Linked DNA regions of Tamandua tetradactyla. The main gene of each other region encodes a partner of the protein of the gene in region 2 in a complex. Links are inferred from orthologs where the notes say so. Each region holds a gene or a part of one and is shown on either strand. Other genes may lie near its edges. The genes, in order: MCM2, PCNA, LIG1 and DTL.

Region 1 (7,988 bases), on a different chromosome or scaffold from region 2:
AAAGGGCACTCAACATCATTAGTCACTAGGGAAATGCAAATCAAAAGTGGTATGAAACTTCACTTCATACCCACCAGGAGGTTAGAATCAAAAAGAAAATAACAAGTGTTAGGAAAGGGTGTTGAAGACCGGAGCCCTCATATACTGCTTATGGGATTGCTAAATGGTGCAGCTTCTTTGGAAAACAGTCCGGCAGTTCCTCAAAAGCTTAAACGGAGTTACCGTCTGATCCAGGGATATAGCCAAGAGGTATATAGCCAAGAGGAATGAAAACACATGTTCAGAGGAAGACTCAAAGGCAAACAGCCATAGCACCATTATTCATTAACAGTTAAAAAAAAAAAAAAGAAAACAGAAACAACCCCAATGGCCATCAACTGATCAATGGATAAACTAAATATGGTATATCCACCCCCAAAAATAAATATATAAAAAGAAATGAAGTACCAACACACGCTACTAAATAATGATGAACCTTGAAAATTACACTAAGTGAAAGAAGCCAGTCACAAAAGACCACATTATTATATGATTCTATTTATATGAAATGTGCCAAACTAGCAAATCTCTATGGGACAGAAAGTAGATTAGTGGTTGCCTAGAGTAGGGGTGGGGGATTAACTGTAAAAAAGGCACAGGGATTTCATTGGGATGATGGAAAAATGTTTTAACTGGATTGTGGTGGTGGTCGCACAACTTAGCATGGAACTCAACATTTACAACGGTGAATTTTATATTACACCTCAATAAAGTTGTTTCAAACACACACACACCCAAAACCTAACTCAACGGCAGCCAGCTTAGATGCCTCTATCCTGAGGCTCCCTACAATGTCTCTCACTCTCCATGAAACATGGAAAGAGAAACAAAGAGAAAGGCCAGGAGAGAGAAGGCTGGGGAGGGGCATCCTGCCTGAAAACTCCATAGCCTACAACAGGGAAGCCACCCATATTGTATATCCTGTCCCTAGGTCCAGGAGATTTCTCCAAAGAGTCTTTATTCCTTCCTATAGGCTGGCTAGGGCTGAACACATACTTGTGTAAGGTTCTACGGGAAGTCTTTAAAGGAAAAACCCTATATGGCCAAGGTACCTATGAAAATCCCTTAAATGGCTCATAAAGAGTAGCATTCACCTTTTGTGCCATGGCCCGTATAGCAGTCTCACATCCACTAAGTTTGGGACCCCCAAAGTGAGGGTAAAGATAGGCACAAAAGGAGAATTCACATGAGGCTCCTGAGCAACCACACAATTCTAAAGATACTAAAGTATCTACCAAATCCAAGCAGTGAATACAGGCTAGGAGTAGAGATCTAACCTTCTCACTTGCAGCGCTTACTCCACCATGTCTTAATATTAAGTCTCAATGACCTTTAATACATGTTTATTCTTATGAGGGTTATATGAGATAATAAATGTGAAGGTATATAACTCACATCTTGGTAGAGTAGGCCCAATAAACGTTTGCTAGAACAAAGCTAAGTCTTGATTAACTGGACCCACATCACACCGCTTCTTTGAAAAGCAGCAGAGAAACACGTGGCTGCCCACTTACTAAATTGGCACCTCCTGCTGTGGCCCTTCTGCATTCCCCATGACCTCATGGAGTTGGGGCTTACTGAGGCCTTAGGGTCTAGCCTTTCTGAGTTAAATGGACCTCTTTTGGGGTTCCATGAATCTGTCTAGTTTCCCCCTAGACCCTAGATCGAGCTGTGCGCAAGGGCAAAGAAGGATTTTAATTGATGCTAGAAAGGTTGCCAGGCACACAATAGGCTTTCTGCAAACAAAGCAATCTGTTGAGTCCAAGGTCTCAGATACCTCTCCATGCCATCTCCGATAAGCTCCTCTCCATCCTCTTCTTCTTCCAGGGGCCCCTCTGTGCCTAGTAACCCCTCGGACTCGTCTTCAAACGGAGGAAGGTCCCGGCCAGGGCTGGAAGTCAGGGCATCTGTGCGACGGGAGCTTCGGCCAGGGCTGGAGGTAAGAGGATCAGCATTTCTCCGACGCTGGGCTGGGCTGGATGCCACTGTGAAGGATTCAGATGACTCCTGCAAGAAAAGCTGCTGCTGTTAAAAACTGGTGAGATGAGGGCTGACACAGCCTCCCTTCTGTCTTAAGGGGTGACCTTCCCCTCCCATCTGATCTCCAACCAATCTCTCCCTTCACCAGTCCTGATGACCCTGTCCTCAAACACACCAAGCCCCCTGCCAGTCTTAGGACCTTGGTACTTCCTATTCCCTCTGTCTGCAGGGCTCTCCCCTGATCTCAAGAAGCCACTGGCTTCTCAACATCCAGGACCCAGCTCAGATACTGCTTACCTGAGAAATCACTCGTGCTATGCCATTTGTTTATTTGCCCTGGTATAGTCTGTTTTCACCTTTTTTAAGCATGCATCCGACCCATTTGGGCCCCCACAAAGTGCCAGGCTACAACAGCAACCCAAATATACCAGGTCTGGAATTCACAGACTGACGGGGACGGGCAATAAAACAGTACAACACAATTAGTCTGGCGTCTGCCCAAGACCAGGCAGGGAGATGGCGCCCAGTAAGCATGCGCAGGCGGAGTAAAGGATAGGACACGAGCCAGCCGGGCTCGGCTTCGGGAGCCTAGATTGCTGCGAAGGAAAAGGACAGTTGCGGGGCCCCCTTGCTTTTCACACCGCGGAAAAGGGGAGGAAAAGAGAGAAGCGGGTTCCCAAGCTCTGCCCGGACCACCGGAACTCGCCGGGGCCGTGAAGCGGGGCGGGAGCAGGGCGCGCGCCTGAGGACTAGACAAGCCACGCACGTCTACACTCCGCCCGGCACAGCCCGTACAAACGTGCAGCCTGCGCGGGGAGTGCCCGCCCCACCCCACGCCGCCGCGCCCGGGCCAGCTCACCGCCATCGCGACGCCGTGCTCCTTCCCGCTCCTCAGGCAGCCGCCGAATTTCGCGCGAAAAGTGACTCACGTGACCCACCCGAGCCCGGGAAGCGTCGGGAGTAATGAACACAGCGTCGTGACGCCGACTTCCGTCCCGCCGGCGCGCGCGAGGGGCGGGCCAGCGAATCCGGCTCCGCCCACGCCGGCCTGCGGGCCCCGCCTCCAGAGGGCGCAGCCAAGTGTGCCCACTCGCAGCGGTTTAGCCCCTGGTTTTGGATGTGGGTGAACTGGAGCCTTGGTCAAGTTCTGGCTGTTTTATAGAAGAGGCACTTGGGGTCTGAGTGGCTGATCCCTTCAACAGAGCTTGTTTATATGGCCTACTGACTGTTTTAGTAGAGGACAACTTCTCTGAGAGCTCTAAGGCCCAGTATTTAAAGCACAGAAAAGATCCCTGGCATTGTAGGAAGCGGCATCTAGTAGATCTGTCCTCCACAAAGGGAGTAAAGATGCAGGAAGGATGTTCCAAGTAGAAAAGAATGTTATGTGCAGAGACATAAGCCTGAGACAGCGTGAAAACTTGGGATGCTCAGGAAGAGACAAGATTTGAGATTAGAGCGCACAATTTACAAAAGTAAGTGTTGCCTAGGGAATGTGAATCTTATCCTGAGGGCAATGGAGAGCCACAAAAGAGCAAGGTGAGACAGAAGCGAGCTTTAGGAAACCCCCCTCAGGCTAATACAGGGTGGAGATGGACACGACCAGACGGAAGGGTGGCAAATGAGGGAGGAAGCTGCTCCAGTTTATTCCTCCAGTTACAGGCAACTCTTGGCTAAGGCACTTCACTTGGTGAGCAGAGGCAGGGCTTGGATTTCAGCGGCCTTGGCCAGGTGCTCTGTGCTGTGTACAAGCTCCTCTAGATGGGACCTAGGCCCAGGGTAGGGGCAGGAGACATGGTGAGGACAGGAAACATCTAAGAGGTGTTTAAAAGATGCTAAAGGACAGCCAAAGGGAGAGATCCAAGATCGCACCAGGATTCTGGCCTAGGAGACTAGGAGGATGAGGCTCAATCTCTGAGATGGGGAACACGGGAGGAAGACAAGCTAATTGGGGAAGTGAGGTTGGGGATGCGGGCAGCAGATTAATTTGTTTTCTGGCTGTGTTCCACATGGGTTCTGAGTGGAAGCCACTGGATATTCAGGTCTGGGAATCAGGAGACGGGATAAAGCTATAGAGGGCTTGGGACTGATTGCATAATCCAGAGAATGAGTGCAGTGAGGAGAGAAGAAGGCCTAAGACTGGGCCTTCTTCAAGAAGCCCCAACCGTTAATAGATACTGCTTTCATTTCCTAGGCTGCTTAAAGCAGATACCATGAAATGGGTTGGCTTAAATGATAAGAATCTATTAGTTTACAGATTTTGAGGCCAAGAAAGTGCCCAAATCAAACCATCATCAAGTCAATGCTTTCTTCCTGGAGACCAGTTGCCAGGAATCCTTGGCTGAACCACGGCAAGGCATATGGTGGCATCTGCTGGTCTCTCCCTTCTCTTCTATGTTTTGTTGATTTCAGCTTGTTGCTTCTATGGCTTTCTCTTTCTCTCTCTGCATTAATTCCATTTATAAAGGACTCCAGTAGTAGGATTAAGATCCATCCTGAATGAAGTGGGCCACACCTTAACTGAAATAGCCTGATCAAAAGACCCTACTTTTACAATGGCTTCACACCCGGAGGATTGGACTAGATTTAAGTGTATATTTTTCTGGGGTATCTACAGCTTTAAACCTTGACGGACACCAACAAAGGATGCTGGGAAGGAATTGCCAAAGGAATGCTGAGGGAAAAACTAGAGAAGAGATAGTGGATGGGATTGTTTTAGTTATCTATTGCTGTGTAACAGATTATCCCCAAATTTAGCAGCTCAAGACAATTAACATTTGTTATCCCAAGATTCCGTGGATTGGGGATCTGGGTATGACTTAACTGTGTACCTCTGACTTGATGTTTCTCACCAGGCTACAGTCAAGATACTGCCTGGAGCTGCTGTCTCATCTGAAGGCTCAGCTGGGGGAGGATTCACTTCCTAGCTCACCCACATGACAGGATTCATTTCCCTGTAGGGTATTGAAGTGAGGGCCTCCGCTCCACACTGGCCATTGGGTGGGGCCTCCCTTGTTTCCTTGCCATGAGGCCTCTCCATGGTGCAGCTCATGACATGACAATTGCACAGAGGCCAGGTCATGGCTAAAGGGCTAGGACTTTAATTCTACAGGTATCAGAAAGTTATCAGAAAAATTTGGCAGGCGTGTGGCAGGGTTAAAATTGCATTTAAGAAGAATCACTTTGGCTGGCAATGGGATATGAATGGGTAGTGGAGGAGCCTAGAGGCTAGTGTTGTCTTCATTCATATAGACAGAATGCTGCCTAAGCCAGAGTGGGGACAGTTGGGGATGGGGTTATGGCTGAGACTGTTGACTGCCTACAGAATTAGTTATGCTATTCTGAGAGGACCAAAAGTATAGTGGTTTTGGAGATAAGAGATGTCTATTTCATTCTCCTGTATCAAGTCAGATGGAGATGGACCTGGTAGGTGGGTGGCTCTCCTGCACTTCATTCAGCAACCCATTGTCACACCATTCTCATGTCTCATTCACATTGCTGCAGGCACATCAGCATTCCAGCTCTGAAAAGGGAAAGGCCTGAAGACCAGGACACTCAATTTTCTTTAAACTCAATTTTCTTTAATAAGAACAACAAGTGATTACATTATTTCCACTCCTGATCCATTTGTGAGTATTTAGCCAATGACCCTCTCTAACAGTGAGGGAGGCTGGGCAATGTAGCATCTAACTGGCTGGTTATGTGCTTAACTTTACCTCTTCTAGGATGGAAGGCAGCAGAAGGGTGTGGTGCAAAACCAGGAATCTCCTCCACCCTTATCTGAATGCCATCCCTTCTTCCTAGTCACCAGAATCTGATTTTACTTGGGCAGCTCTGGGGGATAAATTAGGGTTGGCCTAAGCCTCTCACGTCAGAAAGTCTTCCTCCTTATTACAGCCTTTTCCACTGAGGGGGAAAACATTTACAGAAACCTCCAGCCAGCTCCCACTTAGGTCACATTGCCAGCACTGCAATATGAACCCACTGTAGATAACCCCTGCCAAACGAAGAGACAATTTCCTATGCCTACCCCACTTGCTTCTTTCTCAGGGTTCAGCTGCTCTAATGTGAAGATATATGCTGACACCTGTACAGCCCTCCTGTCACTAATGAGCAGAGAGTCACCAATACACTGAAGATGGGTGTATTAGTTTGCAAGCAGCTGGAATACAATATACCAGAAATGGATGGCTTTTGTTCTAGTTTGCTAGCTGCTGGAATGCAATATATCAGAAACAGAATGGTATTTAAAAGGGGGAATTTAATCAGATGCTAGTTTACAGTTCTAAAGCCGAGAAAATGTCCCAATTAAAACAAGTCTGTAGAAATGTGCAATCAAAGGCATCCAAGGAAAGATACCTTGGTTCAAGAAGGCTGATGAAGTTCAGGGTTTCTCAAGTGAGAAGGCACATGGCAAACACAGTCAGGCTTCTCTCTCAGCTGGAAGGGCACATGGCGAACACAGCATCATCTGCTAACTTCTCCTGGCTTCCTGTTTCATGAAGCTCTCTGGGAGGCATTTTCCTTCTTCATCTCCAAAGGTCGCTGGCTGGTGGACTCTGCTTCTCGTGGCTATGTCATTCTGCTCGCTCTGAATCTTTTTCATTTTCCAAAATGTTTCCTCTTTTATAGGACTCCAGAAACTTATCAAGACCCACTCAAATGGGTGGAGACATGTCATCCCCTAATCCAGCCTAACAACCACTCTTGATTAAATCACATCTCCAGGGAGATGATCTGATTACAGTTTCAAACATACAGTGTTGAATAGGGATTATTCTGCCTTTATGAAATGGGATTTAGATTAAAACATGGCTTTTCTAGGGAACATGCATCCTTTCAAACCAGCACAGCTTTTAAAAATGAATTTAATAAGTTACAAGTTTACAGTTATAAGGAAATGAATGTGTCCAAATTAAGGCCCCAACAAGAGGGTACCTTCACTCAAGAAAGGCCAGTGGGTCTGGAACACTCTGTCAGCTGAAAAGGCACATGGGTAGCATTTGCTGGTCCTTTGCTCCTGGGCTCCACTGCGCTCAGCCTCTGTTCCTGTGGGGGTTCCTCACTTTGCTTCTCTGGGGCAGGCTTTCATCTCTTGGCTTCCCTTGGCTCTCTCCAGATTCCAGCTTGTTTAACATCTCATGGTAACATCTGCTGGGCTCCAAGCATCTCCAAACATCATGTCTCTGTTCTCCAACTGTCAGCCTCTGTGTTGGCTCTGCTCTGTCATTTCTGACTCTCTCCAAAATGTTTCCTCTTTTAAAGGATTCCAGTAAACTATTCAAGACCCGCCTCGAATGGGTGGAGTCACAGCTCCATCGAATCAAAAGGTCACACCCACAATTGGAGGTGCCACATCGCCACAGAGACAATCCAATCAAAAGGTTTTACCCCACAGTATTGAATTAGGATTAAAAGAAATGGCTGCCTTCACAAGATTTAATCAGGATTAAAACATGGCTTTTCTGGGGTACATAAATACTTTCAAACTGACATAATGGCATAGCTGGGCAATCACTTGAGCTGAATCCTCGAAAACTCTGCTGAACTGCCAAACCCATCCAGCCTCTGGATGACTTCAGTGAAGAACAAATGTCATTGTGGCTTAAACAACAGCTCATTCGACTTTTGTTACTTGCAGGCTGAATGTATCATAACCCAAAAGAGAAGGAAGGGGAGGAATTAATTTCAAAGTGGCATGGGTGGGACTTGAAACTGATTGGCTGTAGGGGGTCAGGGTGCAGGCAATACACAGTGGGGCCGAGATGGACTCATCTCTCCTGAAATCTTCCCCTCTGAGTCCAGATGAAATTGTGTTCTTTAGATGACGGCTTGATGCCAAGGTCACTAGATAAGATCCCTCCCTTTTACTTTGCAATTCTTCACTATTTCAACAGTCTCCACTTCAGTGTCCTATTCTGTTAAATGGGGCTTATAATTCACAACTGGCTGGAGTGACCAGGAGGATTAAT
Region 2 (7,501 bases):
TATAGGTTTGATCCACAAACCTACTGTTCTGTGGTTTGTAAAAGCAGCACTGAATTTGCCTTCCCCTCTCACAGACTGAATTATAAATTAGATGGCTGTTTTCAACAGTATTTTTATTTTCACAAATTAGTTGTATGTGGAAAGACATGTTTGTTTCTTTAGAATTTTCTTTAATTTCAGCAATTAACCTAATGTTAAACAATAGTATAATTTCCTTCAAATATTTATTTACCTAAAAAAAACTGTACTCAAGGGTGGGCCACGGTGGCTCAGCAGGTAAGAGTGCTCGCCTGCCATGCCCGAGGACCCTGGTTCAATTCCCAGTGCCTGCCCATGTTAAAAAAAAAAAACAAAAACAAAAAACAAACAAACAAAAAACAAACAGACAAAAAAAAAACTGTACTCAAGGGTACATGAGTGGTTCAATGGTAGCCTTCCATATGGGAGACCTGGATTCAATTCCCGGACCATGCAAACCCCCCACCCCCCACCAAAGTCCCACCTAGTGTGGTGCAACGGTGGCTCAGTGGCAAAATTCTTGCCTGCCATGCCAGAGACCCAGGTTTGATTCCCAGTGTCTGCCCGTGCAAAACAAAAACTGTACTCACAGCTTCCTCCTCTTTATCAACATTGCTTGTTTGTGACAACTTAATGTTTCCATTTCCAAGTTCTCCACTTGCAGAAAATTTTACTCCATCTTTTGCACAGGAAATTACAACAGCATCTCCAATATGACTGAGATCTCGGCATATACGTGCAAATTCACCAGAAGGCATCTTTACTACACAGCTATACTCTTGTTCCTTTAAAACAAAAAACAAAAGTAAGTTAACTGCTTGTAATTAAAGATTTAGCAACCCTACTTACTTAAAAGGCCACCAACTTAAATATTCTGATTCTAAGACATCGTGTTATCTCACAATATACTCTATTCAAAAAAAAATACACATGTAATAGTTATAGGAATATTTGTACTAAAAAAAACAAACCTCAAATTAGAGCTTAAACTTTTAATAGTAAATGCACTATCTAATCATCCCTCAGAAGGGATATATCAAGAGGATATCAGGGAATGGCACAGGAATTCTAAAAAACACAACAGGCATTAAAGCATCTAAGACATCTAAGCATTTCTTCTCTCTTCTGATGTTGATAAAGTTAACTCTAATGCATTTCTGCTCAACAAAGTTTTAAAATCTACTTGTAATGACAAACGTTAGTCCAAACACTGAACCCAGCTTGAAACATGTGTCAGTATTTCTAGTAAGTTCTGCCAGGAAGTAGGCTTTAAAATATGAAGTTCAAGACTAGTGGTTAAATTAACATCTTGTATAACTAGCATGACTGTGTATAGCCTGCCCAACAACAGAAACTTGTGATACTCACTGGAATTCCAAGTTGTTCAACATCTAAATCCATTAACTTCATTTCATAGTCTGAAACTTTTTCTTGATCTACCAAAAAAAAAGAAAAAAACTGAAAACAAAACAAATATTGATGAAAAGAAGGATGCAAGCTTATAATTACAATGTAAATTTTACAGGCATCAAAAAAAATCATCTTAAATTTCTCACAGCTTTGAGAAATACTGAAACTGCGTTTTTTTCTAGTATAGCTCAGTAAAAGGGTATGACTTACTCGGTGCTTCAAATACCAGAGCCAAGGTGTCTGCATTATCTTCAGCCCTTAATGTAATGATGTCTTCATTGCCAGCACATTTTAGTATTTTGGACATACTACAACACAGAAGAGGGAGGGTTTTAAATCACTCCTATGTCCTAGAAGTCCTATAGATTTCTAGTGCAATTAAAACAAGGATTTACCATTTTTCACCTGCTCAGTTGTCTGACAATTTGGTGAGAAGAGCACACCGTTAGGGGATGTATAAATGGGTCCAGCCACTTTGGAGTGCAATTTAGCAGTATATACATTTGGGACTAAACTAAAACTGCGCACACCGTACGACCAGCAATTTCACATCTGGTTATGTGCCAAAGAGCAGTACTTTCCGTATTGCAAATGCCTTTAGTGGGTGCTGCAAACCTATCGGAACACATTGCAGGTAGTTATCAGTCAATTATTTCTTAGAAACCTTTGTGCTACCTATCCGTGTGTATATGTAAGTGACCCAAACTGCAACAGAAAACGTCTTCCTGTAGTTATAATGGTCAATAATGTTGAAAGCCAAAGCTGCAGAACATTTCGCACATGCACAAGGATCTTTAGATATTCAGAGAATTCTTAGCAGTAAGAGACCAGATACAACCGACACATTCTCACTAGTTAATAAAGCGGTCTTAATCCAAGGTTCCCCATGTACGACCACCGGCGAGAGATGACCAGACAGCTCAGGCAAGCTTTTTCCCGCCACCGCCCGCTTTGTGACTTTGTGGCGCGGAAAGAGCCGGTTCGCGCGGCTGCCAGCGCGGGCTTTCCCGAACTGCGCGCGCCGCCCGGCCCCGCCCCTCGGCGCCGTAGGCCAATGGGAAGGCGCAGGCGGCCCACGTCAGCCAATGAGGGCCAGGCTCGGTGGTTCTCCCGCCAAGATCAGGGAATGGCGGTGCGCGAAGACTCCCCGCTGCCTCCGTCTCACCTGGTGAGGTTCACGCCCATGGCCAGATTGCGGTCGCAGCGGTACGTGTCAAAGCCCTCAGAGCGCAGGGTGAGCTGCACCAAGGAGACATGGGACGAGTCCATGCTCTGCAGGTTCACGCCGCTCGAGCTGATGTCCCAGCAGGCCTCGTTGATGAGGTCCTTGAGCGCCTCCAGTACCTTTTTCAGGATGGAGCCCTGGACCAGGCGCGCCTCGAACATGGTGGCGGAATCACAACAATGCGGTAACAAACGAGTGAGAAGAAGGAAGTTTTAGTCGGCTTAGGCTTGACAGGGATCCGAGCGGACGAGCAAACGCAGCACCAGGAGCTCGGGACCGAGGAAAAGCACGTCCAGACCGCTGCGTCCGCAACCGTTTAATGGGGCCGCCTCGGCGAGAGCGCGCAGTCCGCCCCTGCGCCGGGGGTCGATACGTCACCACGCTGCCCCCGCCCGCGACCAATCGTATCCCTGCTCCGCGCGAAGCCCGCCTCCATCAAGGTTTCATTGGTGGGGGCGGACGGCAGGGCGGGGCACTCTGCTCCTCCAGAGGAGTGGGGAGTGGTGTTGGCGCAGGTTTCCTAGTCGTTTTACGATGGTCTCGTTGTGGAGGCGAGTCTGGTCGGGGGTGGGTGGGCCATTCCCGGAGTCGGCGAGTGAGCCCCAGCCCTACGGTTTTAGTCCGGTTGTTGTGCGTTCTCTGCCTCCCGCTGTCGGGCCAGCCTGTCTCCAGCCACGAAAGTGAAAGTGAACGCAAATCAAGCCTTTCGGAGGAAATGTTGCCTTGTAGCCTGAAAAGTACAGTTCCTTTAAATATACATTTTATTTTTATTATAGAAGCGATGCACTCCTAAAAGCGTCAAACATTAAAGAGGTGAACAAAGTTATGTTAAAAAAAGTTCGCTCAACTCCCTTCCCCTTCCCTCGCACACACAGCAAGCTCCACCTCAGTCGTTTACTGTATACAGCTTTCTGGGTTCCCCCCACCCCCACCTTCTACAGAAATACACATTAAAAAAAGAAATTGGTTCACAAGGTAAACAGTTTTGCAAAATACTTAAATTCCTTTTATGTCACGGACGTCTTTTCCATATCACTTCCTGTTAAGACGTCAAAATATTCCATAGAGGGTAACTACTTTTATCAATTTCCTGCTGTAGTAAACATCTTTGGGCCTTTCAATGATTTTTTATGAAATCAACTCCTTGAAGTAGAACTGCTGGATTGAAGAGCATATGCATGTTAATTTTTGGTAAATGTTACTAAATTGGCCTCTAAAATAACTGCAGTTTACATTCCAGTTGAGATTTATGAGCATACTCATTTCCTCTTATTTTCCCAGATGTAGATATTAGCAATCTTGTGCTCATTTGTGTGAAAATTTCAATTTGTATATTTAAAAATTGTTTCAAGTTGGGGCATCTTTCACTTTTCTTTTGACCATTGCTTCTTTATATTCTTTACTCTTTTTTTTCTCAAACCGTTTGCTCCTCTCCTACTGATAAAAGGAGCTCTTTACATATGTTAATAATTTACTTATTATATATTATATATATTTATATATATGTCCTCCCTCCCATAGATGCTTGTTGTTTCTCTTTTGTGTTGGTGTTTCTCTATAGTTGCTTTTGATATCTTTTCTTGGTCTGTAGCACTCCAGTTTTTTCTACTGTGTATTTAGGCATGGATTTAGTTTTATTTATCCTGTTCAGGGCATTTTGTGCTTACTGAATCAGAAAATTCATGTCTTTCATCGTCTAGAATATTCTCAACCGTATAATTTACAAATATTGACACTGTTTACTCCATTTTCTCCCTCTCACATTTCTATTAGACATCTATTTCACTGAATGTAAGATATCACCAACTGAAAGATGCACCATTATTTCATATAGCACAAGAAAAATAAACATACTGTCAAACTTCTCACTTAGAATTTCCATTTTGTAATTATTAACAGAGCTTTTAAATTTTAAAGTTTTTTTTATCACATGCCACTCATACCTACATAAAAAAGAAAAATATAAGCAGAATAAATTGGTTAAGGCATTCCTAACATTTCTCCACATTCAGAGATTCCCCCGTAGTTGTTGAAACTGTTGTTTTTCTATATAATGCCCTTCTGTGTGTTGCAATGTTGTTGATTATGCAGCACTTCTCCAGTGCTACTCCTTGTCTCTGGAATTTCTTCCAAGCCCCTGCATCATTTATAGCAAATGCATGCTTGCTACTGTTTCAGTGCTTTCTGATTACATAACAGCATTTTGGTTTAATGTCAAATTAGTGTGTAATCATTTTGAAGACATCTTAAATAGTAATTAAACTTGACCCATGTGATACCCACAGTACTCAGTAATCAGTTGAAATGAGAACAGATGAGGGGCTATGATCTGTAGAATAGGCCTCTCTGAGTAGGCTTATTTATCCTCCAATATCTAACCATTTGGAGAGTGGAAGGAAGAACAACAGGCTGAGAGAATAGCTTGTTTAAAGAAAACATGCTGGGCGTTGAAACAGGAAGGTGTTTCTTTTGGTATTCAGAGATTGATGTGTCTGGAAACACTGATCAAATGGGAGAATACTACGAGGTTGGGTTGCAAAAAGAGGTGGAGTGAGATCATCTAGGACTTTGTAGGCCTTATATAAGCAAGAGAAAGTTACCAAATGCAGGTGTTTCACATATTCAATTTGCATTTTAAGAGAATCACTTTAAGATCTAGTGAAGATGCTATTCCAATCAATGGGAGAAAGAATGAATTAAGTAAAAGATGATCAAGCAATTGGTTAAAACTTCAGAAAAGTATAAAGCCATAGATGTCCTAATAACTAATCACCAAAATAAATTCCAGATAGATTAAACAGTTAAAATTCAAATAAATGGAAAATAAAATATTGATAAATATTTATGAGATCTTGCTGTGGGCTTCTAAACCTAAAAGCAAAGGGAAAAATACATAACAGATAAGAAATGACTACATAAATTTTAAAACTTCAGTATGCCTAAAAGCACTGTGTTGGTTATTAAACTTTGGATTTGCAGTGACAGAGAACCTATCTCAAATTGACTTAGGAAAAAAAGAGAAATTTGTTAATTGAAACAAAAAGAAAGAGGTATCCGGCTTTCAGTAGTCCAGACCCAGTCTTTACATGAAAAAACTAAAAAGGTTCCCCACACTAATAAGCAAAGGCATGCAAATTAAGGGAAGATGGAATTTTAACCTAACAATATTAATTTTAACCTACCACATTAATAAAAATTGTGTTAACACACTATTAGAAAAAATTCAAGGAAATGGGCACCATCTTGTATTGCAGGTAGGAGTATAAAATGGTATACTTTTCTGGTGGGAATTTGACGATGTGTATCAAAACGCTTAGAATTGTATTTATTCTTTGACACAGAATTCAATTTCTAGGATTTTTTTCTGAGGATATAATCAGAAATGTTTAAGATCAAGCTTGTTTAAGAATGTTTTTTACAGAATTATTAATAATTCAACTGAAATTGGAAGTAACCTTAACATCTAATAATATGGTCTTAGGTAAATTATGGTAAATCCATTAGATCAAATACCATATGGCCTTTAAATGATCATTCTCAAAGAGTATTTAAGGATAAAGAGAATAGTTGAGTTATGAAACAGTATAAATAACATAGTTCCAATTTTCTAAATTACTATATCTGGGTATACCTGCACAGAAAACAGAATGGAAAGAATGTTCATGTTAGCAGTAATTATCTTCAACTGATGCTACCACAAATGGTTTTAATTTCTTTCATTATATGTTTCTGCATTTTCCAAACATTCTTCACTCAAGATGTGTTGTTGATCAGAAAATGTTAATGAATATTGGGAGAGAAAAAAGCTGTAAACTATTTTGCATAAATTTTCAGCAAATTTTTTCACAAGCTGATAATGTATCAAAATGATTCTCAAGGCTAATTGCATATTAGACTCACTTGGGAAGGTTTTAAAAACGAAAAATGGCCTTTTTCCTTTAGGCCCCATTTCCAGCTCTTATTTAGTGGGTCTGGGTAGCCCTTTCCATCAGTATCTTTTTTTTTAGAAGTTCCCAGGTAATTCTAATGAATAATCACGATTGAAAAGCACTGTTAATATGATGTGTGATCAACAGATGAATATTTGTGCTTGAAGCCACCTGCTTCTCCATATAGAATATTGCTTTGAAAAAGACTCAGTTTGTTAGAGAGGAGACTAACATACAGTTTAAGTGAAATGTCTAGGAATTGATAGAGCTGTAAGTTTTCAGGAATACAGAATTTGCATTTTTTAATGCTTAATACGGTTGACAGCTCTGCATAGCCTCTTAATTCCATTTCTTGTGTTACCACATTAAAATGAATAAGGAGCTTTATCTGTCTGAGAACACTTGTCAAACTAAGAACTAGAAAGCCTGTATGAAGGGCAAGATATCGAATAGAGAAAGCTTTTTTAGTTTATTGACAATCCTTTGGTAAAAGAGAGGAAACCACTCTCAGGGAAATGATGAATTTTGGGGTTGCTTGTACGATTTCAACATTGAGGGGAAGTATTTTTATTCATTATAAAATGATAATTATAGCAGTAGCTGCCGACTTACACTGAGCTCTGGGTAAGTCTGCACATTCCAGAGAAATAGGAATCCCATGCTATTTATGTCTACTAATCAACATAGCATCTAAAAATAAAGGAACTAACCAAGGAGTGCTGTGAAAATAAATCACTATAAACCAGATATGCCGCAGGCATGGAAGAAATGACCCCACAATGACAAGGAGCAGAAAAGAGAATTGGGGTGCTCCTTGTCATGAAGGAGGTGCTCCTCCATAGAAGAGGAGGTGAAAGGTAATGTGAAGGATTCCTTTTTTTTTTTATAGTGAGAAATTGTCTATATATACTGTCTAGAG
Region 3 (7,014 bases), on a different chromosome or scaffold from region 2:
TAGAATGCTTGGGACAGCGCCTGCACACAGTAAGCATCATGAGTTTGTTAAACCAAATACATACATAAATAAAACCCTCAATGTCCTCACTAGTCACCTCCTCTGGGAAGCTTTTCAGAACTACCTGGTAAGCACCCAGGTTACCATGCCTCTTTTATTCTCCTTTCTGCCCTCCTCAACCTCTCTCTCCCTACTGGGGACTGGTGAGCTTATAATTTTGTTTCATTTGTCTTTGTCTTCTCTATTAGGTTCAAGGGCAGAGATCAGCTCTGGGTGCCAAGTGCCCAGTGAAGGGCATGCACATGGTAGGTCTTTAATATATGTTGTTATATTGAATTGGGTTCTGTTAACAGAGAAATTCTAGATTAGGCCTGACCTGCTTGTGAGCTCTGGATTTCTGCATGATTATATGTTTGACGCTGTTCTGCTTTCACATCTCTGGATCTGTTAAGCAGGGAGTAAATAAGAAAGAAGAGTAATCCTATAGTAAACATTTAAACAGCTATGGATGAGAGGAGCTAGCTGTTAGAGAGTACTCACTCTGTGCCAGATGCCCTTCATACATTTGATATGTATTACTAAATCCTCACTAAATCCTGAGATAGATACTATTACTTCCCCACTTTCCAAAAAGAAAACTGAGGCCCAGAGAGGCAAAGCCACTTGCTTGAGGGCATTGGTTAATCAGTATAAGAGCTGTCCTATGTACCATACGACACTGTGCACGCCCTATCTGATCCTGGCTGCTGGCTCCAGAGTCCACGCCCTCGACCCCCCTCACAGTTATCATTTAACCAGCTGCCCTGCATTCCAGGAAGTTGGGTAAGTGCTTTCCTGTGTGTGATCTCACCATAACCTCACAACAGTCCCATGAGATAGCTACTGCCATGTTCCCATTTCTGAGATGAGAAAACTGAGGCTGAGAGATACCCATCCAGAAGTCGGGGTCCCATCTCAGGCAGCCTGAAGGCAGAGCCTGTGTGTTTAAGCATTCCTCTCTCATCTATGGCTCCCCAGCCAAGGGTCTCATACCCATGCATCTACAGGGGCCAGGGAGGCAAAACAAGGATGCAACACTGCAAAGAATGAGGCAGCAGAGAGGTGGGGTTGGGGTAATCCTGAGCACCAATGCCTGTATACAGGGGGTGGCTATCTGCTACACAGGAATAGGGGCTCAGCCAATTCCTGTGTTTCTAAGGGAAGCTGGAAACCCTACATTGTATGGAGAATGTTTCCATTTTAAAACGGGTCATTAAAAATAGCCTTGGTCACTTGGGTGGTTCCCTAGCTCTCTTGTGGATTTCTCACCTGCTCCTTATCTTTATAGCATTACACAGTTGTACAGAATTACTTGAGAGACTGACTGTCCATTTACTGTCAGTCTCCCTGAAAGTTCCAGAGGGCTGGGACTTTGCCTGTAGGGCACTTTCTTACCCCCTGTCCCTGGCTCTCCCTGTTCCCAGCACCCAGCATGAGGCCTGGCCTCAAGGGACAGATCTTTATTTTTGTCCCTGTGGCTTTCCCTGCACCTCAATCTCCAAGTCTCTGTTCTGTTCTAAGTGGGCAAAACCAGGGTCTCTCCCAATTTTTCCCTGACTCCAAGTCTCCAGGTCTCTGGAATTTTTTGTCTATGGGGTGGGTCTCCATCTCACTCTCTGCCTCTCTATAGATCTCTGGCAAAGCCTGTAATGCCTGCTCTGTCCCTTCCTCTGTTTCCCTTTCTCAGCATGTTTCTCTCTTGGTCTCTCACCGTCTCTCTGGAAGGTATATTTGTCTGTCTCGGTGCGACTGTCTCTCCACCCCTCCTCCAGACCCCCCTGCTCCCTCCCTGCCGGGCAGCGGCTCAGGCTCACGCACCCTACTGCGGGCCGGCTGGGAGCGCGCAGGTCCTTGCACACGAGCCGCACATAGCTGTACTTGAGCACGTCGATGAGCGTGTAGAGCGGGGGTGCACCGGCCCAGCGGCAGCGCGCCAGGTGCATGGAGCTCTTGACGAAGAAGAGGGCCCGCCGCTGCAGGCACCATGCGTCGAAGAAGCGACTGAACTCCGCCCAAGAGAAAAAAGCCCGCTCCCGCAGTTCCTGCTCCTCCTGCCCCGCCACGGAGCCGGGTGGGGGCTCCAGCCGCTCCATTCTGGGGCGCCTGAGAGGGAGTGACAACTGGGTATCAGTTCCGTTCCTTCCTGGGATGTCCCACTTCCACCACTCTTCACCTGCCCCTTAAGCGCTGGTACCTATACTCTGGTGGGGTCAGGGATGGATACACCCATTTTTATCTCCAGATATGAACAGCGCCCCCCTCATCTTTTGGCCATCTGTGACACACTCTTCCTGGCGGCTACCCCTGGAACAGCTAGGGCCTGTCACCCTGATCCCTAATTCCAAGACTGGTCCCCTTTCCCTAGAAGTGAGTCCTGGGTCCATTTGCGGCCACTCAAAATACGACAAGCGTGTTCCCAACTACAGCTGAGTCCCCCCCCCCCCCACAACGAGCCTCTAACACTTGGCGGTTACCCCCCACATAATCCCCATTCATGTGGGACTCCCCCATGTACCTTCACTTGGTTGTAACTCCACCTGCCCTGAATTCAGCTGTATCCCCTTCTAAAGATGCTCCACAACTATATGTACTGCCCCCCCCCCCCCCCACATCCAGTCACGGACCCCTTATCCCCAGACGTGCTCCTCAAGCACGTGGGGCTTGCTCCAGAGATGAACCTCCAATATTGCAGCTGGTGCTGGTCCCCCAAATGTGACCCCACGTGCCATCCGACTGTGACTCCTGTTTCCCAGAGATGCTTCCATTCAAAGTGTGCTCCCCACATCCAGTTACGGCCTCTTCGCCCACAGGTGCTTGCCCTATCCATTTGTGGCCAATTATCAAAAGTGTCACAAATAATTCATCTGTGACCCCTCTCCTCCCTAGATGCGCCCCTGTCAGATGCATTCAGCTGCGTCTCCGTTCTGTCAGCTACGGCCACCATCCTCCCCAGATGTGTATTTTCGTCCTAGACTCGGCCTCTTATCCTCACACGGGCTTCTTCATCCCAGATGCTCCCCGGATCCAGGTGCATCTTCCTCCCTACCTCGTGTAATCCCTTCCAGCTCGCTCCCACTTCGCCAGTCCGGCCCCATCCACCGCGGCCCCTCCCAGCCCGGCCGTCCCACCCAGCTGGGCCTTTCCCCTCCTCCAGCTGTGCACCCTTCCCGCCCCTCCCCACTCACCTACGCTCCGGATCAGCGTCCACCTCCCACAATGCCTCGCGTCGGAGCACGGCGCGGCCCTCGCTCCCGGGATGCCCTGCGCAGCCTGCCGCCTCTCTTCCCGTCGTGCCTCGCGCCGCGGCGTTCTCCGAATTTCCTTTACTCGCCGCGGGTCACTCCAGCGACCAGGAGCCACACCTGCTCACCCAGGCGCAGGATGTTTCCCAGCGTGCTCTGCGTGAAGGATCGCCCCGCTTATCCTCTTCTTCCGACTGCCTCCGTGTCAGGGAACTCCAACTCCCAGCGTCCCCCGGGAAGCGACGGCAACTTCTGGCTTGCGGAAGTCACCCAGGCCTCGCCCCTCGGCTCGGCTCCGCCCCCGGCCGCCAAATTCTGCGCGCGAATTCCGTGGCGCGAGTTTGGGCTGCGGTGGCGCGGCGAGTGGTTCTAAGCGTGGTACCCGGGACAGCAGTGTGCGGGGCCGGCGCGAGGCAGGTGGGGCCTCCTGCGAAGGGCTGGGGGGGTTGGAGGCAGCGCGTGACGAACGCTTGGTGCGCTTGGCTTTGCCGGGCCCGGGTCGCTGCAAGGGAGTGGATGTGGGGGATGCTGAGGGCGTGGTGGGGAGAGGTGAGCGCGGGCAGCGGGCTGCGGGGCGCCGGAAGGGACGGGGGGAGGCTGTCTGACGGAGAGGGGCCTGAGAGAAGGTAGACCAGGGCCAAAGCCTGTCAGCCCGGAGGCATACGAGAGAGGCCTGAGGGGGCGGGGCCAGAGAGGACGGGGGCGGGGCCAGTCAGTACTCGAACTGGCAATCTGAGACGGGACGGGGCCAGCTACTGCTATGAAGGGCCGGAGGAGGCGAGACCAGCTTTGTCTTGTTGCCCAAAGTGAGGGGAAGGAATAGAGGAGCTTGGGGAGGGAAGACCGCTGAATCTTGACCTTCTTAGGAGCAGGGGAAGCTTGAAGGGTCAGGGGAAGGGCACTTGGCCTGGAGAACAGCGTTTGGAGAGGGATGCTGTCTCTGAAAGTCAGGGGGCCTTGAAGAGGGATACAGCAGAAAAGGGGTTAAGGCATTACCTCTTGGCCTTATCCCCATTTTTCCCCTTTTGAATAACTTATTAGGCATCCTACCAAGGGGCGTGAGGGAAAGTAGAGTCGAAAAACATCTTAATTTCTTCTTGTCTTAGAACCCCTTAGAATCTACGACTGTAGATTTCCCCCAGCATTCCAGAGATTCTGATGCAAGAGGTCAGGGGGTGGGTGGGGATTTTTTTTAACATTCTTTATTGTGAAATATATACAAAAAAGCAATAAATTTAAAAGTACATTGTTACAAGTAGTTATAGTACAAATTTCAGACTTTGGTATGGGTTTCAGTTCTACAATTATAGGTTTCTCCTCACTACTGCAGGACATAGGAAACTAAAAGAAGTATCAGTATAATGATTCAGCAGTCATACTCGTTTGTTAAATCCTGTCTTTGTTCTAACTCCTCCTCCTCCTCTGATCCTTCTCCCAATCTTTAGGGGTATTTGAGTTATGCCCATTCTAACTATTTCATGTTGTAAAGGGCTGTCGATAATAGGGAGATGTATCGAGTTGATGTTTTTGAAGAGGCTGACCCCTCTGGGTTTCAGGATTTATCCGGCCTAGGAACCCATCTGGAGGTTGTAAGTTTCTGGGAAGTAGTCTTAGTGTGTGAAACTTGTGTGTGAAACTTTTGTAGAATCTCAGATAGAGCCCTAGGTATTCTTAAGGCTTAACAGGAATGGAGTGGTTTTCTTTGGGGTTTGGAAAACTGGTAATTAGCAATATCTACCTGAAGCTTGCATAAGTAGCTTCTAGAATAGGCTCTCGACTCTATTTGAAATCTTTTAGCCATTGATACCTTATTTTGTTACATTTCTTTTCCCTCTTTTTGGTGAGGAAAGTATTATTGATCCCATGGTGCCAGTGCCACTGCCAGACTCATCCCTGGAAGTCATGACCCACATTGCAAGGGGAACGTTCACCCCCTGGATGTCATGTCTCAAGTATTGGGGAGAGTAATGATTTTATTTGCAGAGTTGAGCTTAGAGAGAGAAAGCCCATATCTGAGCAACAAAAGAGGTTTCCTGGAAGTAACTCTCAGGCATAACAATAAGTAGGCTTGGCTTCTCTGCTACAGAAGTAGGCTTCACAAGAGCAAGCCTTAAGATCAAGGGCTTGGCCTATTGACTTGGGAGTCCCTAATGTTTGAAACAGTATCAGGAGTTTACCCAGTGGTAAAGCTTAATAGTTACATATTTTTTCTCCATCCCTCAAGGGATTTTTTCAATACTTTTTAATTATCTGTGCAACATACTCTGGGATGCATCTGGGTATTGCTTTAAGCTATACAGATTTACAAGTCCTCCTTTCCATTCTTGGCTCCATGTGTTTGAGTTGTTTAAATGAGCTATGCAGACAGGTTGAGTTAGATTATGTGCTACATCAGATTTAGGTTTTGGACAAAATAATCTTCTCTTCCTTTGGTCTCATGTACTAGGTGAAGTTTTAAAATACAGACAATGTCATTTTTCCCTTGTATTCTGATTTACCTTAGTCCCAACCCGATTGTCTTCATTCTTATCTCTACTTGAAGCCTGATCTTTTTTTTTTGGTTTTTTTAACAGTTGTTGTACATAGATGGCAGTGCTGACTTTCAGAAGGCAGAATTCCAATTCTGAGTCTTAGGTGTCACTCAGGTAGCCAAAGTTCCAGGGAGATACCAAGTTATACATATGTAACACAGCATGTCAAAATCTAGGAATAATATTTACATCTCTGGACTAAATGTGACTGCTATAAGAGCTTACAATCTAGGCCCCGATTTTCTTATGAATATTTTCTAAAAGAGACCATACAATATTTGTGCTTTTGTTTCTGGCTTATTTTGCACCACTTAATGTCCCCAAGGTTCATTCACCTTGTTGCATGCCTCACAACTTTGTTCCTTTCTGTAGCCACACAATATTCCATCATATATATGGAATATGTGTATATATACACACACACACACACCACAGTTCACCATTCTACTTCTCATTCAGTGTAGCCTTCAGTCACTCAATCCATTGGGCAGCATGTATAATGTCCAAAGTCAACAATTCCTGTCTCACATTATCTTCACTTAGTTGTATAATCAACACTCTTCAATTTTAGATAATTTTAATTGCTCCAAAGCGAAAAATAACCTACAAACCAACCCTCACCAAATAGAAAATCCGAACCTCCCCTTCTGTCCTTCCCCGTCCCTCCACTCCCACCCTCCAGTTATTTACCCCTAGTATTGCTGTGGTTTGTTGATGTCTTCCTGGTAAATACAGACCATAACATGCAATAATAGTTTTACCCTTATACCCCTCTATTATTGATTCTTTGTACAAGGTTCATACCTTTGAAGTAGTTCATGCAAGAACTTAATTTGTAGTAGTTAATCAGTGGAATACATGAGTCTATACAACCCTTTTCAGTCATGTTCACCTTCACTTTGTCAATATTACTTATAAACCCACTATTGAACTGCCTTCACTTCTGTCCATTCAGATATTTTAAACACAAATCCCAGGTGATTCCTGGAACTGGGATCCTCCATTTCTGGTATCATTCATGAACTGGTTGTGTGGTCCTGCACAAAGCACTTTGTTTATCCCAGCTCAGCTTCCTCAATTCTTTTTTGAGGGAAATGAATCTCTTTTAAGTCTCTGAGGATGGGGGGGGAGGTAACATATTTAGGGGTAAGGTGTAAAATATTTGACAGGACATAGCTAGGAGAGCAGACAGGTCAGGAAAT
Region 4 (7,181 bases), on a different chromosome or scaffold from region 2:
TTGGTATTCACAATATGCCAGAAATTATATTCTTTGCATCTGTTTAAACCTATGATAAAAAATTTTAGTTTATCAACTTGAAAATGCACAGAAGAGTAGTCAGATTTCTAGTTTAGAATGATCTATGACAACAATCTGAAGAAAAAACTGGAGAGGGGGAAACTAAGGCCATTTGAGAAACTTGCCTTTCTCAACATTGAGAAACAGTACAGATAAGAAGGTAGGGAAATGGCATGGTAAAGCTAGAACAGATTCAAGATGGGGTGAAGAGTTACTGCCAGGTTTCTGGTTGGGAAGACTGGTTTAAAACTGGGAACACTCTCTAAAATAGGAAATAAAGCAGGTTTGAGGGAGTAATGAGTTCAGTTTTTGGGCGTGTGAGTTTTAGATGGCTATGAGACTGACGAGCTCAGTGCAGATATCCACACAGCTGTTGTAAGAATGAGTCAAAAGCTTAAGGTCTACAAATCTGCAAGGAAAATCATTACTTCCCCACTAAGGACACAACCTTTGGGGGGAAGTCTTCCTAACAACATGGGACATGACTTTAAGAGATGAGTTTGGCCCTGCACCGTGGGACTGACAGTACTTTCCTGACCAAAATGAGGAAAAGAAGTGCAACATAATAAGACTCAGTGGCCCAGGGAGTTCAAATAGAGTACTGAGGCTATTCTGGGAGCTACTTTTATATAAGCTTCAGCTAAATATTGCCTATTCCCATGTTGTGTCAAACCCCAACCAACATCATTCTTGTTAACTCTTAAGAATATCTAGGGATCTAATGGAGATTTTATAAAAGTTTCATGCAGTAAGTTTACTTTCCTGAAATCTATAACCTCCAGAGGGTGCCTAGGCCAGATAACTTCTGAAATCCAGAGGAATCAGCCTCTCCAAAATTATCAACTAATTACATCCCCCTATCCTTCATTGTCAACACCCTTTCTCAAAATGTAAAAATCAGAATGGGCATTGCCGAAAGACCCTTACAGACAGGAGAAGGATTGAAGGAGGAGTTATAACAAAGAAAATACAATTTCACAAATGAGTATGAATGCTAAATCATTATATTAATACTTCTTTCAGCCTCCAGTGTTTTGGAGCAGCTAGAAGGAAAAATCTGAAATAGTGGAATGAATGAAAACCCGTAACAAATTCAGAAATCTGTTCTGTATCTACTTGTTAAAATGTACTTTGAAAACTATTGCTTTTTCTTTCTTTTCTTTGTATATATATTTCACAATAAAAAAACATTAAAAAATTTTTTTAAAAAGAGCATAGGATCTGGAAGGCTATAGGTAGTAGTGGAAGATGCCCCAGTTATTGCTCTGATTATCCAAAGGAGTGGGTAGAAGAGGAAAAGGGGCTAAGATTGGAATACCAAATTGAAGGGATAGGCGATGGTCCCACAAATTGCAGTGCCTAACATAGCAATGCATGAATATTTGTGAAAGAGAAAGAGGAAGTGGAAGAAGTAGACAGATAGATTGGAGATTTAGGAGAAAATTCATCACAAAATACAGGGTAAATATTAATAGCTTGTCTCAACACAGATAGTAAGGAGTGGAGCTGGAATTAGAACACAGGCTGTTTAACTCCAAAGACAAAGCCTTATGTTGCCACTCATGACAAGGGAAACATACAGAACATAATTTAAAAGACTAAGAGGGGAGTAGGTAAGGATGGCATAACGTTTTAAATTAAGAGCGGGCTGTTGAGGAATTACTTCTCAACCTTCTTTTCCTAAACCTACCACTTAAAACATAGAAGGTTCTCTTCTCACATTTTTTGTTTTTCAAATGGTTTCAAGGAAATGATAGACTCCCTGTACACTCGACTTTTAAATGGGTAGTAATTCCCTATTAGAAAGTTTCAGGTAGATGACATCCAAATTGAAACTCAAAACTCTTCTTGTCAAGGAGGAACTGAGGGAATAAACTGGATTTCTACGCACTAACATAGAAATATGTTCAAGTTAAGCCACTAAAGTGAACAACAAAACATTCTGATCTCATCTCTGTAAATAAGCACCCTATGTATTATTTCTGGCATCGAAAAACATCTGGAATAAACAACCTATTAACAGTCTGGGGGTGTGGTCATGGTGATCGTCCAGTTAATAATTTCCAATTTTTATGAACATATATTAATCGGGGTGGGGGTGGGGGAGATTTGGACCCTGCCAGCAGGAAATGTCCTGCGTTCTCTGCGTGACCGAGTTTCCTAACAGTGCATCCGGTCATATTTATCGGTGGCCCTCCAAACACAGCAAATAAGGGCTCAGTAAGCTTCTACACAACTGAATTAATTAAACAAAATGAATACAGGGCGTCCTGGTGGATCTCATATGATTATACAGAGAACGACAAAAACAACAAAAAATGCAGCCGATTCCCGGTTAACGCGTAACACACAGACCTAAGGCCCTAAGGAACGTTGGAGGCCAGTTAATTCATCTTTCCTCTCACCTTCAACCTATATTTGTGATTTTTAAAAAAGTATTCTGAGGGAATGAAAGTACAGCTTACTTAGTAGTCCGCGTCAACACTAATTCATTCTTACCGTGGGAAAAGTCGGTTGGGAAACAGAATTTTAGTCTGCCCTGGTTTGAGGTGTGTTCGGAAGACGGATACCGCCAGCAAACAAGCAGCGGTTAGGACCGTTACTTACCATTTCTCGGGGCGCCAAACTGGGGCTGGCGGAGCACCGAACTGAAGAGCATCTGGACCGAAGGAGAAGGCTCAACCGCGAAGAAACCTGCGGAAATGCCCCCAAGTGCAGCAGGAATCGTGGCTTGCGCCTCTCAGAACACGACTCGTTGGTGCCTCCAACTCCCGCCACAGCAAGCTCCGGCCACCAAACTCCGCGCCAAACTGACGTAACGATCTCTGATTGGCTCCTGCCGCGGCGTCCGGACGCCTTAGAGTCATTTCTCCCGCCCTATCCCCGCCTCCTTTTCTCCCATCCGCGGGAACCTGGAGCGCAATAGCTCCCTGAGCGCCTGCGCGGGGGACTGAACGGGCGTTGGCGAACCGCGTGGTGGCCAGGGCGCATGCGTAACACGGAATGCCAGCGCACGGCGGAAAAATTCGCGAGAAGGCGGTGTGAGAAGATGGCGGTGTTGGGACAGCGTTTGCAACCTTTATGAATAGGTTAGGGAAGAAACTGTTCGGGCCATGGCGTCAAACTCAACTAAGTCTTTCCTGGCAGATGCTGGCTATGGCGAACAGGAACTGGATGCTAACTCTGCCCTTATGGAATTAGACAAAGGTATTCGAAAGAGCGGACTGAGTGGGGAAATAGATGTGGGGGGGGACGTGGCGCCCCCAGGTGGTGTTGGCCTGGGGAGCGTCGGGAAAGGCGCGTGCGCGTACCTTCTGGGCGGGGACTCAACCCCTGCCCTTGTGCTCTGGATGAGGCTAGAGCTTTGGCTGTTGGGGGAAATTGAGGAAACCCTGCAGGATCCGCTGATTGGCCTTGCACCGATGAACAAGTAGCGACCTCTGGTGATGCCCTGTTTGGACCACTTGAGGGCATAGTACCCCGATTTTCCAAATAGTTAAAGTGGCTAGTTTCTAAAAATGCTGAGTGACAACTGATAGTGGGTGCAGTACCTATGACCTGGCAAGATTGTTGTAAATATTAAGTGTATGCAAAAGAGGTCTGTATTAAATGCTAAGAAGATGTCCCTTCCTTCTTATAAATGGATATGGAAGACAAGGTGGATAGTTATCAGTAAAGAAGTCAAGTATTAAAATGAAACCTTTGTTTTATTGTACTACAAGGACTTTTTATTGTGTTGGGGGAAATATTTTGTATGTTGGTAGTACAGTTAATTCTTGATAATCTGTAGCTAATGTATGCGTGTATTGTGAACTGGACTTTAAGTCACAACACTGCTTTGAGCCACTTACCTTTTATGCAACTTGGACATGCCTGTTAACTTTTGGGGGGCTTGGGTTTTATTTGGTTTGGTTCTTTTAATTTAAGCATTTTTAGTATTTTGGTCTAGATTAGAGTTTCTCAGACTTTCTTGACCCTTTATATCATTTTGATTAGCATAAAAATGTCACAGTACCTCAATTGAATAGTCCTTTGGCTGAGTCACAGTATCTTTAGTGCATCCCCATCAACCAAGAAGGTGATGTTGCTCTTTGCTTTCATTTATAAAAGCTTTTGCCCCCCCACTGAAATGTAAAATTATGAAATTATATTGTTCTTAAAACACTACCGTATCTTTCCTTCCTTATTCTAATACTTTCTTATTCCGCAGTGAGAGTTACAGGTCTCGGTTTTATCTAATATCTCTTACATTTCTAAAGATACTTTCTACCACTGGTCCAGTGGGACTTGTCCTATGTTGACAGTAGGACATTGGTTGTAGGACATGAATCAGGATGGGGCTTAGAAGAAACGAGCAGTCTAGAAAAACATAATCCCTAAAAATTTGCGGTTATGCGAAGAAAAGAAATTTAACAAATTGTTTTCCTTCTTAAAGAAGAGATGAAATAGAAACATTTTAGATCTGTAAATGGCCGACTATTGAGTGTTTAACCATAAATCAGGCATCAGTTGTACATACTAAGTGATCATATATTCAATCCTCCTAGCAATGTTCTAGATGAGTCTCAGGATCTGAAAGAGAATTTAAAACAAGATAAAAACAAAACTCTTGTCCTTTCTTACATCACCATGCTGCACCTTTTAAATTATGTTAAGGCCAGTTTCATTTACATATGGTGTTTTAAATATTGAATCCTATTGTCTTTCACTTGTTAATGAAAGTATTTGTTTTGTGAGCCAAAAGTCAATAGGCTCAGAAGGCTATGAGTTTTAATTTTCTTAGTTCTCAAACTTCTGGATCAGTTTCCCAGTATGTACTGCAAGGAAACTATTTATCTCTCTTTCCTTCTCTCTATCCTTCTCTCTTCCTTTCTCTCTCTTCCTTTCTTCCTTCCTACCTTCCTCCCTTTCTTTTTCTTTTTTTTTCTCTCTCTCTCTCTCTCCTCTCCCTCTCTCTCTCCCTCTCTCTCTCTCTCTCTCTCTCCCCCTCTCTCCCCTTCCTTCTAGAAGTTGTATGTTTATAGAAAAATCATGCAGAAAGTTTGAAATTTCCATATATGCCCCCTTAGACACAATCTTCCGTATTATTAACCCTTGGTGTTAGTGTGAAACTTTTGCTACAATTGATGAGACAATATTACAATATTACTATAATTCATTTTATTAACTATAGTCCTTAAAACTATTAGAGTCCACTGTGTTGTACAGTTATATGATTTTTTTAAAATTTTATTCTGATTACACATATGCAACCTAAAATTTCCCATTTAAACCACTTTCGAATATATGATTCAGTGGTGTTGATTACATTCACAATGCTGTGCTACCATGGCCACAATCCATTACCAAAACTTTTCCAGTGCCCCCAAACAGAAACTCTGTACGAATTAAACATTGACTCCCCATTCTGTACACCCCCCCTGGCAACATCTTGTGTTCTAGTTTCCGACTCTGAATTTGCATATTCTAATTTCAAAGAAGTGAGATGAAACAATATTTGTTTTTTAGTGTCTGACTATTTCACTCAACATATCTTCAGGGGTCAACCACGTTGTAGCATGTATCAGAACTTTATTCCTTTTTATGGCTAAATCATTCCATTGTTTCTGTATATCATGTTTATTTATCCATTTGTCTGTTATCCATTTGCATTGCTTCCATGTTTAGGCAGTTTTGAATAATGCCTCTTGCAACACTAGTATGCATATATCTGTTTGAGTCCCTGCTTTCAATTCTTTTGAGTATGCTTGTTTAATTATATGGTAATTGTTTACGTAGCTTTCTGAGTAATCTATAGACTGTTTTCCACAGCAGATGCACCATTTTATATTACCACCTGCAATGAATGAGTGTTCCTGTTTCTCCACATCCTCTCCAACACTTTTCTGTTGTTGTTTTTTTAATAGTAGCCATTCTACTAGTAGGTATGAAATGGTATCTAATTCTGGTTTTGATTTGCATTCCCTAATGGCTAATGTCATTCCCCAATTTTGAGCATCTTTTCATGTGCTTATTGGCCATTTGTATATTTTCTGTCTATTTAAGTCTTTTTGTCCATTTTTTGTGTTTTTTTTTTTTATGGTTGCAAATAATACCATTTCAGAAGTATTTTAATAGGAGTTTCTGCTCCGTTTCTCTCACAAACGCACACACTCATACACACTACTTATTTTATGATGCTTTATGCTAGGGATATGGCAGTTAACAAAACCCCTGCTCTCATAGAGTTTATATTCTAGAAAGAAGAAAAAGAAAATAAAATATATTAAACTTATTGTGCAAAGAATGATAAATATTATAAAGAAAATGAAACAAGGGAAAGGGGCTAGAGAAAACTGGGTATGTGGTTGGGGTTGATTTTATCATTTTGTGTAGGATAATCAGGAAAAGCCTAGCTGATAAAGTGGAGGAATGGCAAACACTGTTGTGGGGCGCAGCAAAAGAGAGACCACACAATTCTAAAAAACTGCAAGCCAATTTGGAGTCTTTATTAGCCAGCCAGCGACTGCCTCAGAAACCCCCAAGAAGGACGATTCAGAGAGCAGCCCTGAGAGATTCTCAAGGGGGGCTTATAAAGGCAAAAAACGCAAGTTTATCCACAGAAGCAGGAAAGGGGCATTATCTTTTTAGAGCCACATCTTGGTTTGCAGCTGTAAGCAAGCAAGCTCATCTACTGAAGCAGAAAAATGCCGTTAGCTCTTGCAAAATACATCCCATTCTTTTAGTTTCTTAACAGTGATTATTGTTCAATTTTTAACTCTTGGGAACTTTCCGCCCTGGATCTTGTGACTCCGGATACCTTCTTCTTGCTAGGGCCTGATTTATTGCTCCTGACCCCCCACATTCCCCACTGGTTTTATGAGAATCAAATAATTGTTTCTGTATTTTGATTATAAATCTGTTGATAATGGGTTCGAAGGACTGATAATTTAATAGCTTGTATTCTTTTTTGCACATATGAGTTCAGACAGTTTATTATATGGGGTCCAACCATTAAGCCTAATGGTATGAGAATTAGGGGTCCTGTTATGGTGATTAAGAGCGTGGTCAGCCATGGGGACCAGGAAAACAAATTTTCATACCAGTTGGTTTCAGCTTTCCGGCGTTCCTCCCACTCTCAT

Evidence for each region.
Region 1: PCNA (region 2) and MCM2 share a complex: the UniProt entries of both Homo sapiens proteins name them as parts of the replisome complex. The link is inferred for Tamandua tetradactyla from reciprocal best matches to the Homo sapiens genes PCNA and MCM2.
Region 3: the proteins of PCNA (region 2) and LIG1 are in contact, whole or in part, in a cryo-EM structure (PDB 8B8T), measured with the Homo sapiens proteins. The link is inferred for Tamandua tetradactyla from reciprocal best matches to the Homo sapiens genes PCNA and LIG1. Residues at the interface, in NP_002583.1 of Homo sapiens: Met40, Ser43, His44, Val45, Leu47, Leu126, Gly155, Arg210, Ala252, Pro253, Lys254, Ile255; in NP_000225.1 of Homo sapiens: Ala361, Gly363, Arg364, Ser368, Ser388, Thr389, Gln390, Arg391, Leu392, Met393, Leu394, Val432.
Region 4: the proteins of PCNA (region 2) and DTL are in contact, whole or in part, in a crystal structure (PDB 6QC0), measured with the Homo sapiens proteins. The link is inferred for Tamandua tetradactyla from reciprocal best matches to the Homo sapiens genes PCNA and DTL. Residues at the interface, in NP_002583.1 of Homo sapiens: Met40, Ser43, His44, Val45, Ser46, Leu47, Glu124, Gln125, Leu126, Gly127, Ile128, Pro129, Ala208, Tyr211, Asp232, Val233, Pro234, Tyr250, Leu251, Ala252, Pro253, Lys254, Ile255, Glu256; in NP_057532.4 of Homo sapiens: Ser705, Met706, Arg707, Lys708, Ile709, Cys710, Tyr712, Phe713, His714, Arg715.

What each region holds. Positions count from the first base shown.
Region 1 is NC_135335.1:30,176,528-30,184,515, reverse strand, and holds the start of MCM2 (DNA replication licensing factor MCM2), read right to left. Parts: upstream 3,007-7,988; 5' UTR 2,885-3,006; coding exon 2,879-2,884; intron 2,047-2,878; coding exon 1,817-2,046; intron 1-1,816. UniProt on the Homo sapiens protein: Acts as a component of the MCM2-7 complex (MCM complex) which is the replicative helicase essential for 'once per cell cycle' DNA replication initiation and elongation in eukaryotic cells.
Region 2 is NC_135327.1:55,684,073-55,691,573, reverse strand, and holds the start of PCNA (proliferating cell nuclear antigen), read right to left. Parts: upstream 3,009-7,501; 5' UTR 2,815-3,008; coding exon 2,594-2,814; intron 1,737-2,593; coding exon 1,639-1,736; intron 1,455-1,638; coding exon 1,387-1,454; intron 804-1,386; coding exon 609-803; intron 1-608. UniProt on the Homo sapiens protein: Auxiliary protein of DNA polymerase delta and epsilon, is involved in the control of eukaryotic DNA replication by increasing the polymerase's processibility during elongation of the leading strand.
Region 3 is NC_135342.1:12,941,058-12,948,071, forward strand, and holds the start of LIG1 (DNA ligase 1), read left to right. Parts: upstream 1-4,006; 5' UTR 4,007-4,041; coding exon 4,042-4,087; intron 4,088-7,014. Other genes in the region: uncharacterized protein ZSWIM9, read right to left, coding at 1,858-2,132.
Region 4 is NC_135330.1:70,022,667-70,029,847, forward strand, and holds the start of DTL (denticleless protein homolog), read right to left. Parts: upstream 3,011-7,181; 5' UTR 2,720-3,010; coding exon 2,668-2,719; exon of another isoform or gene 2,560-2,667; intron 1-2,559. Other genes in the region: INTS7 (integrator complex subunit 7), read left to right, coding at 3,174-3,267. UniProt on the Homo sapiens protein: Substrate-specific adapter of a DCX (DDB1-CUL4-X-box) E3 ubiquitin-protein ligase complex required for cell cycle control, DNA damage response and translesion DNA synthesis.